3 linked regions of the Nothobranchius furzeri genome follow. The protein of the gene in region 3 interacts with the protein of the main gene of each other region in a pairwise test. Links are inferred from orthologs where the notes say so. Each region holds a gene or a part of one and is shown on either strand. Other genes may lie near its edges.

What was found.
Region 1: the proteins of lin7a (region 3) and pals1b interact in binary tests that used the Homo sapiens proteins (3 or more experiments, as listed by UniProt). The two-hybrid records come from large-scale screens. The link is inferred for Nothobranchius furzeri from reciprocal best matches to the Homo sapiens genes LIN7A and PALS1.
Region 2: the proteins of lin7a (region 3) and protein PALS2 interact in binary tests that used the Homo sapiens proteins (3 or more experiments, as listed by UniProt). The link is inferred for Nothobranchius furzeri from reciprocal best matches to the Homo sapiens genes LIN7A and PALS2.

Annotation. Positions count from the first base shown.
Region 1 is NC_091742.1:8,458,294-8,462,742, forward strand, and holds the start of pals1b (MAGUK p55 subfamily member 5b), read right to left. Parts: upstream 2,884-4,449; 5' UTR 2,693-2,883; intron 672-2,692; 5' UTR 518-671; coding exon 190-517; intron 1-189. UniProt on the Homo sapiens protein: Plays a role in tight junction biogenesis and in the establishment of cell polarity in epithelial cells.
Region 2 is NC_091745.1:83,010,329-83,014,775, reverse strand, and holds the start of protein PALS2, read right to left. Parts: upstream 2,872-4,447; 5' UTR 2,500-2,871; intron 305-2,499; exon of another isoform or gene 300-304; 5' UTR 252-299; intron 1-251.
Region 3 is NC_091741.1:40,970,968-40,974,616, forward strand, and holds part of lin7a (protein lin-7 homolog A), read right to left. Parts: intron 418-3,649; coding exon 208-417; intron 1-207. UniProt on the Homo sapiens protein: Plays a role in establishing and maintaining the asymmetric distribution of channels and receptors at the plasma membrane of polarized cells.

The sequences.
Region 1 (4,449 bases), on a different chromosome or scaffold from region 3:
GCCAGGCAACAACATTTGTTGCATTTTTCAAACATGAAGTGGGAGTGGAGTAAAACTCTGGTAGGGCGCGACTTGCTCTTTAAAAAACCTCACAAGTCTATTCCTCCCTGAGGGCTGCGTTGCTCCTTCTCTTCTTCCGTTTAACCTCCTTGAGCCTTTGCCAGCACCCACTTCCTCCACTGAACTCACCAACAACAGGACCCAGACAGGCCGCATCTTCGGAAGCCTTTTCCTTCCTCTCAAAGGTGGGATTGTCAGTGCCAACTTTTTGGTTCTGCGACAGCTTTTTGAGCCTCAGAGAGGCGTTTGGATCAATGTCATGTTTCCCCTTGTTGTCCTCCTCTCTCCTCCTCCTCAGCTCCTCTTGGTAATATTGGATCCTCTCCATGTGGGCACTGCAGTGAGGGGATTTGACAAGGCTGCTTTCCTGCCCCGGACAGTCCACAGCCCTCTCTCTGTGGCTCATGGCCTGACCAGAGGCCTCTTGCACATAACCGTTCATATGGGATGTTATCATCCCTGTTGCTGCGGCGTACAGTTCAAACCACCCCAGGGTTTCCTGAGGTCTGCCAGAGCGTCACGAGAAGCTGCTGCTGGAAACTATCAGCTCAAGGGTCAAGGCACGCCATTGGAGGATGGAGTCCTCTGTGCCGGTTCAGTCATCGCTCCTCCTGATACAAAAACACAAATAAAAATAATTTGTTTTAGAAATGTTTTAACTTAAAATCATTCAATGTATTTTTTTTTTTAGTTTTTAAAACTTGAACTTCAGCAAAAATCTCAGACTGTATCAACAACTATTGAAAAAAGGTTAAGGGATTTGTTTGGGCGTGCTATCCTTCTGCTCACTCAGCAGACTTTGTTCATAGTCTCACACAACATCAATGTCAAACTCACAAACTACCTGGGGCTTCGCTAAAACACATAATCTGGCTGCGTGTCGATCAGGACAAACTTTTACTCCTTTCCACTCTCGTCCGTCTCTCCACTAATCTAATTTCTAACATGGAGAGCTTTCAGGATTCGGTCACCTTAAATCCCTTCTACACAGCCTCATCCAGGCTCACCTGTCCACCAGAACACCTCAGCCAAAATATAGCTTGTTGCTTGTGTTGATACTCAAATAAAGCACAAATCTGTTCAGCATATCTTGGAAGCGGAGTTCACCTTCATAATTTTAAATAATTTGATTCTACTTAATGTTTTGTTTACTGTATTTGCTAATTGATATGGATTTCTGAATAATTTTACATTTTGTACCTTGTGAAACAAAAATAAACTGACTCGACTTGAGTATATTAGGTGAATTAAAAAAATTAAAACTGAAAATGGCACATAGATATGCATTACCACCTGGGTAATGTTGTGAATGTTGTAGATTAAGATCTATTCTGTTGATGTTATAATCTGGATTTGATGGTATGACGTGCCTCAAAGTGGAAATTTTCTAATAGAAAATCCTGTTCGAAAACAGTAAAAGGATTAAAAGCCGAGTTGTTTTTGCACATTATTAAAGTAAAATTTTTGATATTTGTGTCATTAATGATTGTATCGCTCTTATTTAAAAAATTTTTGCCCTTCTTTGCAAATCAAATTGCCACAGATTGAAAATGAGAATCAAACACATGCACATTGTCCTTGAAAGCCACGTTTGACATTCCTGTGTCAAAGTCAGTCGTGTCCCCTACAATTAACTGGCAGCAACTCTCCACAGCTAATCACGGCTGGCAGGTCCACTCCTCCTAAACCCTCCCCTCCAGAACCATTTAGTTGTGTTTAGTGTAGCAGGGTACTGCTGAGGAGCAGCAGAGACTGCCAGCAGACCATCTGTTCCCGTGGGCTTAATTAAGCTTGAGATCTCATGCTCTGCTGCTGCTAACTGGTTGAAGCAGTTCTGAGAAGGATGCAGGGTAGAGAGTGGCGCCTGGGTACAGAAGTGAGGATGAGAGGAAGTGCACAAACCAAACAAGGTGATACAAAGAAACTGGCTCCGCTTTGTGGCCTCAAATTCAGCCCTCTGCATTTTATATATTATATATGACCAAACAAATCAGTAAAGCACATTTTCTTACATAAATTGAGATACTTGTCTTACTCTCACCATCCTCTCGTGTTTGACAATGTGCATAAAGTCATATTGTGTCAAAAACATATTTTTAAACAGTAGAGCAGATTATTACGTACACAGATATTTGTTTAGTGAAATAAAACATAAAATATGACTATAAACACTAGAAAAATAGTTTTTTTCCCGACTTGGACATTGCTCAACCCGTGTGGTGACACAAATACATTATTTTTTTAAGTTTTCCCCACGTTTGAACGTTCAAGTTATATTTAAATTATCAAGCAACGCTAATCACATGTTTAATAAACTTGAATGCTTCCTTTATTAGAAATAGTGCCCAAACAGCTAGAGGCTAGTTGGGGTAAACTATTTTAAGTCGATTCAAGGAAACACTAAAGACAGCAGTGACATAAAAACGTGTTCGAATAGTTTTGCAAAGTAAGTTAAACTTTCATACAAACCAACTCTGTAGAATAACAAAAGTTTTTCACTTAAAAACAAAGTTTCTGGTTTTATCGTCGGTGTTTAACACCAACCGAAGCGCCCAATTTAGCTCAGAGACTAGCGGCACATCGCTGCTAAGCTAACAGCATAGCCGTCCCGTTACAGAGAGCCTCTACTCACCACTTCAAAACCAGCGATGAGTCCGAGTTTCGGGAGCAGGAAGCGGCTCTTTTAAAATAAAATCTCCGGAGAACATCCGAGCAGCTCGTGAATGAGAAACTTGCCGTCTTCTCCCTAGGAACGCGTTCAGCGGTTGTTGAGTTTTGTCCAAGCGCAGTCGGGACACTTCTGAACTGCGCCACCGGTTGTTTTCAATCGTTTCCTTGGCAACACTGCAGCTCTACAGCGCCATCTTTCCGACAGACACGTAACGACAATGTCGTAAATAACAATACTATGTAAAACATTGAATAAGGCGGATTAAAATAGACACTCAGAGTTTATGAATTTAGACTTTTACCAAAAAAATCAATTTTAAATATATACCTGTAGAACAATTAATTATAATGATTAATTTCGTTATTTTATTTACTGTAAACTCCATTGTAATTATTCAACGGTGCCATAAGGTCACAATTAACTAAAAAAAAAAGCATTAAGAACATCCGGCAAGCATAATCAGATAAATTAAATTATAAGTACCCAAATCAGCACTACACCAAATCATAATTCCAACAGTGATGAGACTTACATGTTTGCATTTTTTAACATTCTAGCTAAGGTATATTTTTCTTGATGAAGCATATTTCAACACATGAAATCAAAATAGTTTAGAATAGCTTTTGTAATAGAACTGCAAATATCACTCCATTTGCAGATAAAAGCCACTAAAAAGAAAATTAGCGTAATATTTATTCAAAAGTGTGTCTGCCACACTTAGGCCATTGCATTAAAAAAACATTCTTAGGCAACATCACACAACTTGACAAGTTTGAAAAGGGTTTGAGAAAGGACTGGAGTGTCTACTGGATTCATCTTAGTTCACATCTTCCCACCTTTGCTCTGTGCATTTATACTTTTCCCGCAGGCACAGAAGGAGCTTCCAGTCCAGCTGAGACGTCATCTCTCCATGAAGAAATCCTGGAGCTATCACAAAGTGCCTCATTGCATCAACAGTGACCCCAACTCAATGATAAATTATACATGATATCCTCTAAACTATATTTATGGCACTGTTCTATGAATGGTACACAGTTTTATTGCAAGTCTTTACTGTTTCACACATTAAAATGACAGCGCAAGCCCTGTAGAGCAGAAAAATGTCTAATTTGACTTAATAAAGAGATTATATGAGGGACCTTGCAGATCACATGATGATCACCAGGAGAAGCCAGAGAGGTCTGAAATTTAGGGACAGGTTCACCAGAATTATGCATTTGTTGTGTCTATAGGTCATTTTTTGCAGATTCTAAAGTCTTTTTAGAATTATGTTCAAAACCCTAAATGTCCAAGCCCAATATTTAATCTGACATCACATGAAATCTAAACTTTCAGAGCAAAAGGTTGACCTCAGAGGTTACAAGTCAGAGCATTTAATTATCACAAACAAGTCTGGATAAGGGAAATTTAAGCTTTTTGCATTTACGTTTAACTTCACTAATTTCTTTCAGAGAAATATATTTTAAATGTATTATTTTCTTGAGTAAAACTTGATATGTTTAGTTTTTGTGTTTTGATTAACTTGCAAATTGTTATAACCTAAAAACTAATCAAGTGTAACTTGATGAAGGAGCTATTCCTCCAAGGTTATTTAACCTTTTCCACAGTTCCCTTTGACACAGCGCCAGAGTGCATGAAACAGCCTCAAGATCTCAGTTCTCAAGATCCCATGAAGTTCACCGCATGTTAAGTGAAGTATGGACAGGCCATTCTGCACT
Region 2 (4,447 bases), on a different chromosome or scaffold from region 3:
ATAAGCGTGCATGTGTGTGTAGCTGGGACTCTGGTTAAAGGTCGTACCAGCCACACACACACAACTAAGACTCACTGTACAAACACACTCTCCAAACAGGAAAAAAAACACATCTACTGTAGCAAGAACAGCCAACACATGATAGTTTGTGTAGAATCATTACATATAAACTGTGTGAACATACTAAATGCTAGTCACCACAGGAGTCAACCAAAACATCTAAATTATAGGCACGAATTATGAGAACTTACCTACTAACTGTGATTAAATCATCAGTGCAGCGCTGAGTCCCATCTTTTCTACTCTTCATGAACACAAGATGAGGAGATCCAGTTAGTTTTGTTTTAAATGTCCTCAGTAACTCAGAAGCTGGTCATGTTCATGTTTCCTTTCCTACAGAGCTGAAGCAACATCTCATGTATTTAGTGTTGTGTTAGGGTGACTGTCTTGTTTCAAGTATGCCAACAGAAACGTAAGGCAGATGTTCTTTTAGGGTTAGTGAAATGCTGTGAGCACTCAGCTCCTGTCATGTTGGCAGTTTTGTCATTTTCCTTTTTAATGACTAAAACATTCTTTCCCTTCACATGTGATCAAATGAGCATGTGTGGAGGGTCATTTTCTGTGTGCTAAAGTCTTCAGTCAGACCCTCTTGGTTTCATTTTTTTTTACTTCCAATTCAGCAACATTTCTTCAGTATTTTTAAAGATTTTCTAAATGTCTTTGGGTTTTGGAAGCGTTTTTCACCACTTTTACTCCATTTTCTGGTATTTTTTGAAAATGTTTGTCTTCATACCTCTAATATATGAATGTTTCTAGGCATCAACAGGTCCTAAACAAAAGAAAACCTGTTTTAAATAAGAAATTTTGGCCCTTTGTTTACATGTGTTTGTTAGTTTTTCTCTTTAGTAATTTCTTAGACATGTCCGGGTGATAAGACATTTCCTTTACGACTAACCTACTCTCTTATATTTGAAAGCACAAACTGATGTTGGGGCCAGCTAGCATCACTGGACAGAATCCATATAAAGTTACCCAGAGTTGTAGGGCTGCCACGACTAGTCGACGCGTCACGACGATGTTGACAAAAAAAAAGGTCGACGATTTAATAGTCAACGCGTCGTTTTTTGTATGAGCATTTTTAAAATCTCGCCTGCAAAGACTGGAACATGTAAAGCTTCAAACTTGCCACCATGCCTCTAGAAGAGAGGCACAAATATAATGACTTGGATAGAAGAGGCTTTAGCTAAGTGTGAAATCATGCCTGTTAAAATAAAAGCAGTAGTTCATAACAGTGGGTCAAATATGGTGGTAGCAATGAGACTGCTTGAAGAGAAACATGGATGGGCCTCTATCCGGTGTGCTGGATGCACACTCCAGCTCAAGTTTCTGTGCATCCCTGCCACTTCAACGCCATCTGAGCGGATCTTCTCTGCAGCTGGGGACATCTGCTCTCAGAAGAGAGCAAGCCTTTCTCCTGAACATGTGGAAATGCTAACTTTCCTGAGTGTAAACCGGGACCTTGTGTGATTATTTAGCAGCTGGATACATTTCATGTGAGCTCAAGTCTTTTTTGTATTTTAGTTTTTAGTTGCTTACGTCTGATCTGTTTGACATTGTTGCAACAAAATTCACTGAATGCTATTATCTTTATTATTAGATGGCACATAACTGATCACACATACAGCATCCTGGTACAACAAGCTATACTTTTATGAATGACACGATTAGTCGCAACTAACCGTTACCAAACTGGCGACTAGTCGACTAATAAAATAGTCGTTTGTGGCAGCCCTAGTTCTAATAAAAAGCTGAAATGATAAAAACGTCTGAACACCCACTGAGTGAGACGCATTATTTCGGTCGGGCTCGGGAAAGTTAGTTATAACGAGCTCAAAGCTAGTTTACATGTACGGGCTCGATGTTTTAGTATATAGTTGTGTGGAAAATTAAAGAAATCAGACTAAATGTCAACATGGTCTCAGAATGAATCAAACCTGCTGTCATGACGAGCTCGCGACACACGCACAGCGCACGTGTAGACAACATAACTAGCCGTTAATGGCAAATTTACTGTGAAAACATTCGTTTTAATGTAAGTGAACACGAACCAGAAATGATTTGAAGTCTACGACTCGAACTGTGTGATGTCAGGTCTTCTTCGGCATTATTTAACCACAGCGCGTCCTAAATCAGTCCTAGCACACATGCCTGCATGTTAGCTATGCTAAAAATGTACCGCTAGCTACTTGTGCTATGCCGAGCGTTGTAGGACCTGTTTCAGCCGAGCGATCTCAAACTTTCGCTCGCACTTCAAATCAGATCATCAGCTTAAACTAAAGAGCCAGTGGAGCTAGCGTGATCCCAGCAGCGGGGCTAAAACAGCGGGATAAAATTAGCTAACTGGTGAAGCTAGTTTGCTCGTGGCTAACATTAGTGAAAGCCGAGACTCAAGAGAAGCTCCTCGATGAGACCGTTACATTTTTATTAATGATTCGCTACCTGGCGTCTTGTAATCAGCATCCAGTCACGCTTCCATTTTCCCTGATCTCAGTCCATCATAATCCGCGAATATCCAGCAGCAGTCACTTGTACATGCATGTCCAGTCGCGTCTCCGTCTGTCCACACAGAGGTGGAAGCAGCGCACATGTCACTCAGCTCCGGGTTAAATCTAGCTCACACACACCAAATGTCGTTCAGGATTATTATCGGGCTGGTTTATAACTTTGTTTCCAAGAACTAAAGGCTGAGATATTATTTTTATTAATCTAAATGCAGATTATGTAGCGTGTGTGTATTTTAAAACCACAGGCAGTATCGATTGGCGACGCTGTCATTTAACACACACACACACACACACACACACACACACACACACACACACACACACACACACACACACACACACACACACACACACACACACTAGGATGGGTAATACTTCCACAAAAGAAACTACACTGGTATGGCAGCCTAGCCTAGTGAACTAGATCACAATCTTGCCTTGCAAAAATTAAATGATAATAAATTGCAATAATAATAACAAGAAGTATAATAATAATAATAATAATAATTATTATTATTATTATTATTTAGTCTGGCTTGCCAGGCTAAACATACGTTGCTCTGAAGGTGCTATTGACAGATCTACATTTGCTGCTACCCATGTGCACTAAAGTTCACTCACGTGTTTTTGTTTCCAAAGCTGGCCTTTGAACTGTGCTGATAACAAGCCAGATGGTCCCTTACCCTTTTCAGAACACAGCATTAATGACATCTAGAAAGAGTGTTACCGATATTTTGTAGATGCAGTGATGAGAAGCACAGTTTACAGTGGTCACTTTCAATCTCTATAGTGACGTGTTTTGTCTGTTTATAAGACTACACATACTTTACATATCTTATTTAATTTAATGTATATATGCACCATTGTAATAGTCCAAATAACTAATTAAAAACAAAGAACCTATTCATCTCTAATATAGTGAGCTTGTATTGAACTGCATTATTCGTTTTGCATTTTACAGATCATAACATAACATTTAACCTGCTAATCTAATTGAAATCAATTTGCAAATTAAACAATTTTGTTGTATTCAAACAAAATTCTGAGTGAGCACTGATTTAGAATTGTTTCATGTCCTTAAATGTGTGATGGTGTACAATTTCCAGCAGAGGACGCTTGTACGCTGCCTGGCCATAAAAAAATTGCCACCTGGATTTACTAAACAATCACTGCATAGGCGATTATCTTTTACCTGGCAACAAGTTATTTAACTCCAACTGGGTGCAAATAGTTGCTTCTGGTTTCTTAAACAACCATGTGGAGACACATCTCATGGTTATGGAAAGTGTCTGTTTGAGAAGGGCCAAATAATTGGGATGCATCAGGCAGCCAAAACATCTAAGGAGATTGCAGAAACTTAGCCTGGCTAGCCATGTCAATGTCTGTGTAGAACAGACAGTGGGAGAGTCTGGCAGGTCATACTAGAAACTATTAAAAATGAGTTAAGAACTGTCCGACGCATTATTAAAAACTGGAAGGATAGTGAAGAAGAAGAAAAGATCTCTTAATGTAGCAACTCTCATGGGAAAAATCACAAGGCCATTCACAAGAACAAAAATTTACAAAATGAAAAAGGCTAAAAAATTATTCAAAATCCTCATAAAATAAAATAAATTTTAAAAATGCAGAGCAAGAAGAGAGGCAAATGAAGTGATGCATGCAAAAAGCTAAAAAAAACAACAACTAATGTTTGGGTACATTTTCCAAAAGTAATCATGCCTATTACCTACACGCATGTGGGGGGCAGTGCTATGATCTGGGGTGGCTGCAGTTGGTCAGGTCTAGGTTCAGCAACAGGATGTGCTCCAAGAATGAGGTCAGATGACTACCTGAATATACTGAATGACCAGGTTATTCCATCAATGGATTACTTTTTCCCTGAT
Region 3 (3,649 bases):
AGAGAGAGAGAGAGAGAGTGAGAGAGAGAGGAAGTCATGGTGAGGAGATATTAATTCATTCATGATGATCAGATCAAAGGGAAAGCTTCTTACTCAGGATGAGAGCAACATTTCGACCTTCATACAGAAGCTCTGACTGCTGACTCACATATCAGACCTGAGATCAAACATCCTTCATTCTGCACGGTCTGGTTGGACGTCACCTACCACACCGTTGACAGACAACAGCTGATCCCCTCGCTTTAGGCCTCCATGCCTTTCAGCCACGCCTCCAGGAATGATGCGAGAGATGTAAATGGGGGAGTTCTGCTCCTTGCCACCCATCACGTTGAAGCCAAGCCCTTCCTCCGTCTTGGGAAGCTCAACCACCCGAGGGTGAGAGTGACCTTCGCTGGCTGCGAAGGCTGCAACCGTGGCCTGCAGAAAGAAAATTTGAAATTCCCTTCAAAGATCTTCCCTTTTTTTTTTTTTTTGCATTCAAACAAATATTACAAAGCGTCAGCACCGTCTTGTTTCTGCAAAGCGACAGAAATTAGTCAGGGCCGAGGATTTCGCCTCCATGTGAGAAGTTTCTGGTTCTCAGTGCGGATGGATTAACACATCCAAGTTCACACCGCTGGAGCAGCCAGACAGCTTTCCCTTCATTATCTCCACCAGCTGTGGGGTTTCTTTGAACCACAAGCTCAGAACAAAGCACCAAGGAGCTTTTAAAGCCCAGCTTAGGGAAGCTAATGGCAGACGAACAACGAAAGAGACACTCGGTTCCCACTTTTTTATAGATGTGCTTGCATCAAGTTAGCATCATTCATCAGAGATGATGCGGATCTAACATGGAAGGAGCTGTAACAGAGGAGAGTATGAAACCTTGCAGACGTGCATCCATTTTTCCTCAAGAAAATCCGACTCTGCCTCCAAGCGGCTCCTCTTTCTCAACATTCACATGACAAGTGCCCTTTCTCCTTCTTCTCTCCTCTGTTCTTTGCCCTCTCTTCTTCTGCTCGGTGTCTGACTGTAAAGGCGGCTCCTCAGCATGCATGCCGTCGCCTCACAGGCCTCGCAGCACATCGACCTTCACAACTTTATCTGGGTCTCTGCAAACAAAAACATCATCTGGCAGATGGCCGGCGCCTCTCAGACACAGGAGGGATTTGAAAATGAAAGGCTAGCTGGGGGAAACCACACACACTCTTCATGTGACGGCTCAGCATATCCAGTCACTTTATTATGTTTCCATTCTCTTGGTGGGAAATTGATTAAATTGGGGAGGCGATCAAAGCGCTAAAAGCAAATCTCGACTGTCAGGAGATTTAGCATCTCATTACTTAAAACACTTGAGAGGGAGATCAACTCAAACGTGATCAACGAAAGCTTAATTTTCACTCATTGCTTGGAGTGAAAAGGGTTTATTGAGGCTGTAACAATTCCGGGGTTTTCTAGTCCTCATTTTAAAGATGCACATTTTAAGAATGAAGTAAGAATGACATCCTGTGGCCAAACGTGGTTACTGCAGGCCACTTTTCTGAGCAAACTGTTACTTTACCCGTGACTCTGAGTGAGTTTCACGGCTGTCGGCAGTTACAGATCAGCATCAGAAGACGAGTGAAGACGAGATATCACAGTAAGTTGATAAGTGGAAAAATGCATTGTCACATCTGGTGTGACAATGACAAGGGAGCACTTACTACACTTACTACGGTAAAGTGTCCTCGGCAGTAGAGGAAGTTTAGTTGTTTGCCTTCTCGCTGTTAGCTCGCTGTTATAGTTCTGAACGACTCATTAAATGAAGAAAGACGCCACCGTTGACTCATAATTCACTTTACACACACGTCACTGTATTATTGAGATTTTGGTGATTGAAAAAGTACCTTGAGATGTTTTTACAGCCAACTAGTTGCCTCTAATTCCCTGTTACCATCGTTAGCTTAACATTAGCATCTGGACTACTTCACCAGATATTACAGTAAAACATAAATACGTCGTGGCTTATAAGGGTCCAAGAAATAACTTCTGGCTTGCTCCTGTTTACTGGCTTCAGTTCTTTAAATGACTGTAGAGTTTTTTGCCTGCTGGTGTTAGCTGCTAGCTCTCTGTAGATTCGGCAACCTCACTGATTGTAAGCAGTAGCTAGGCCCAGTGTTGCCAACTGTTTTGACTGAAACTAGCTGAAGTTACCCCCCAAAGTCGCTAGATGTCGCCAGATGACGTCACGCACTAACTTGCATACGACACAATGACGTCATCTGGTTTGCGTGATGATGTCACCACATTTGCGCATGACGTCACCGGTCTTGTAGAGTAAATCAAACAAAGCCCACGTGATTTTATTTTTAAAAAATTTAATTTTTTTTATATTTTATTAAAATAAAAACCCCATAGAATACAAAACAGCGGCCTTTAAAACATCAAGGAAAGATGGCACAAAAAATGGAAGGACTATTTTTATTTTGTCTGAAGAGAATGGAACTCGTAAACACAAAAATATTAAATTGATAGGAATGTATGTGTGATTGACTTAAAATGAATTTTCTCTTGTAGTTTTCAAGTGCCTTGAGATGTATTCTTCTGTTGTGATTCAGTGCTATATTTTGACCTAAAAGATAATATATATATATTTTGTTTTTGTTTGTTTTTGTTGTTTTTAGTACTTTTGTGTAGAAGCAGGCTGTATTTAGTATTCAGAAACGTTACATGCAAACTGCCAATGACCTGAGGTGTTTGTCTTGCAGTATTATTCTGTTTTTTTATAAAAGTTTTAAATGTGCTACGTTACTGAACTCATCATAGAGTTCCAATGTTCCTTGAATGCACCACAAGTGGTGCGAGAAGCCATGTGTGAGTGCGACGCTGTCTGCCAGTGCCAGGCGAGCTCAGCGGCCGAAGAGCGGTCGCCCTTTCTGTAGCTCCGGTGGCCATCTCAAATAATGGACTTGTGAAAACCCACGAAAGGTTTTATTGGTCAACGAGGGTAGCGTGATCATGCTGCACGCACACGCGCAGAACATTTTCTTTCTGATCCTCTGGAAGGAAGGACGGTCCTGTCGCTTCAGATGCATCGCTAATCTGCAGGTAAAGTCTGCTACAAAGTTGTAGTCAAAGCAGCTGAGGGGGGTCAGAAATGTCGCCCGATTTATCGCTAGGCGCTTTTTAGAAAAAAAGTCGTTAAGGGGGTCTGAAAAGTCGTTAGAAATGGCGACAAAGTCGTTAAGTTGGCAACACTGGCTAAGCCCCTCTTGTTTTTTTGAAAGGAGGAAAACTGACAACTTCCCAGCTGGCTGAGAAGGAACCTTCCTTCCCAAATGACTGAGACAATAAACAGTTTTAAATATTTTCTCAGTAGAATTTTCACATATTGCTCCTTTAAGCTAACCATGTCTGGGTTTCCTCCAAATTTTTGGAGTAGCAATTTCTTTTCAGACATCTGAAAAGATGTATTAGAAAGCGTTCATTTAACCACCTGTTTACTGTATGGTGCTCAGCCCGATTGCCTTTTTAATTGGTGACAAAAGAGCCCTTGAGCAGCTCTCGTCATCTGAAGCCCCATCCAATCAGAGAGTGACACAAAAACCCCACTTCCTTTGTTTTTGTCATCCTATCCTCCACCCACCCTTCATGATGAGTTGAAGAGGAGTAGACTCAGCTGGACTCTGAA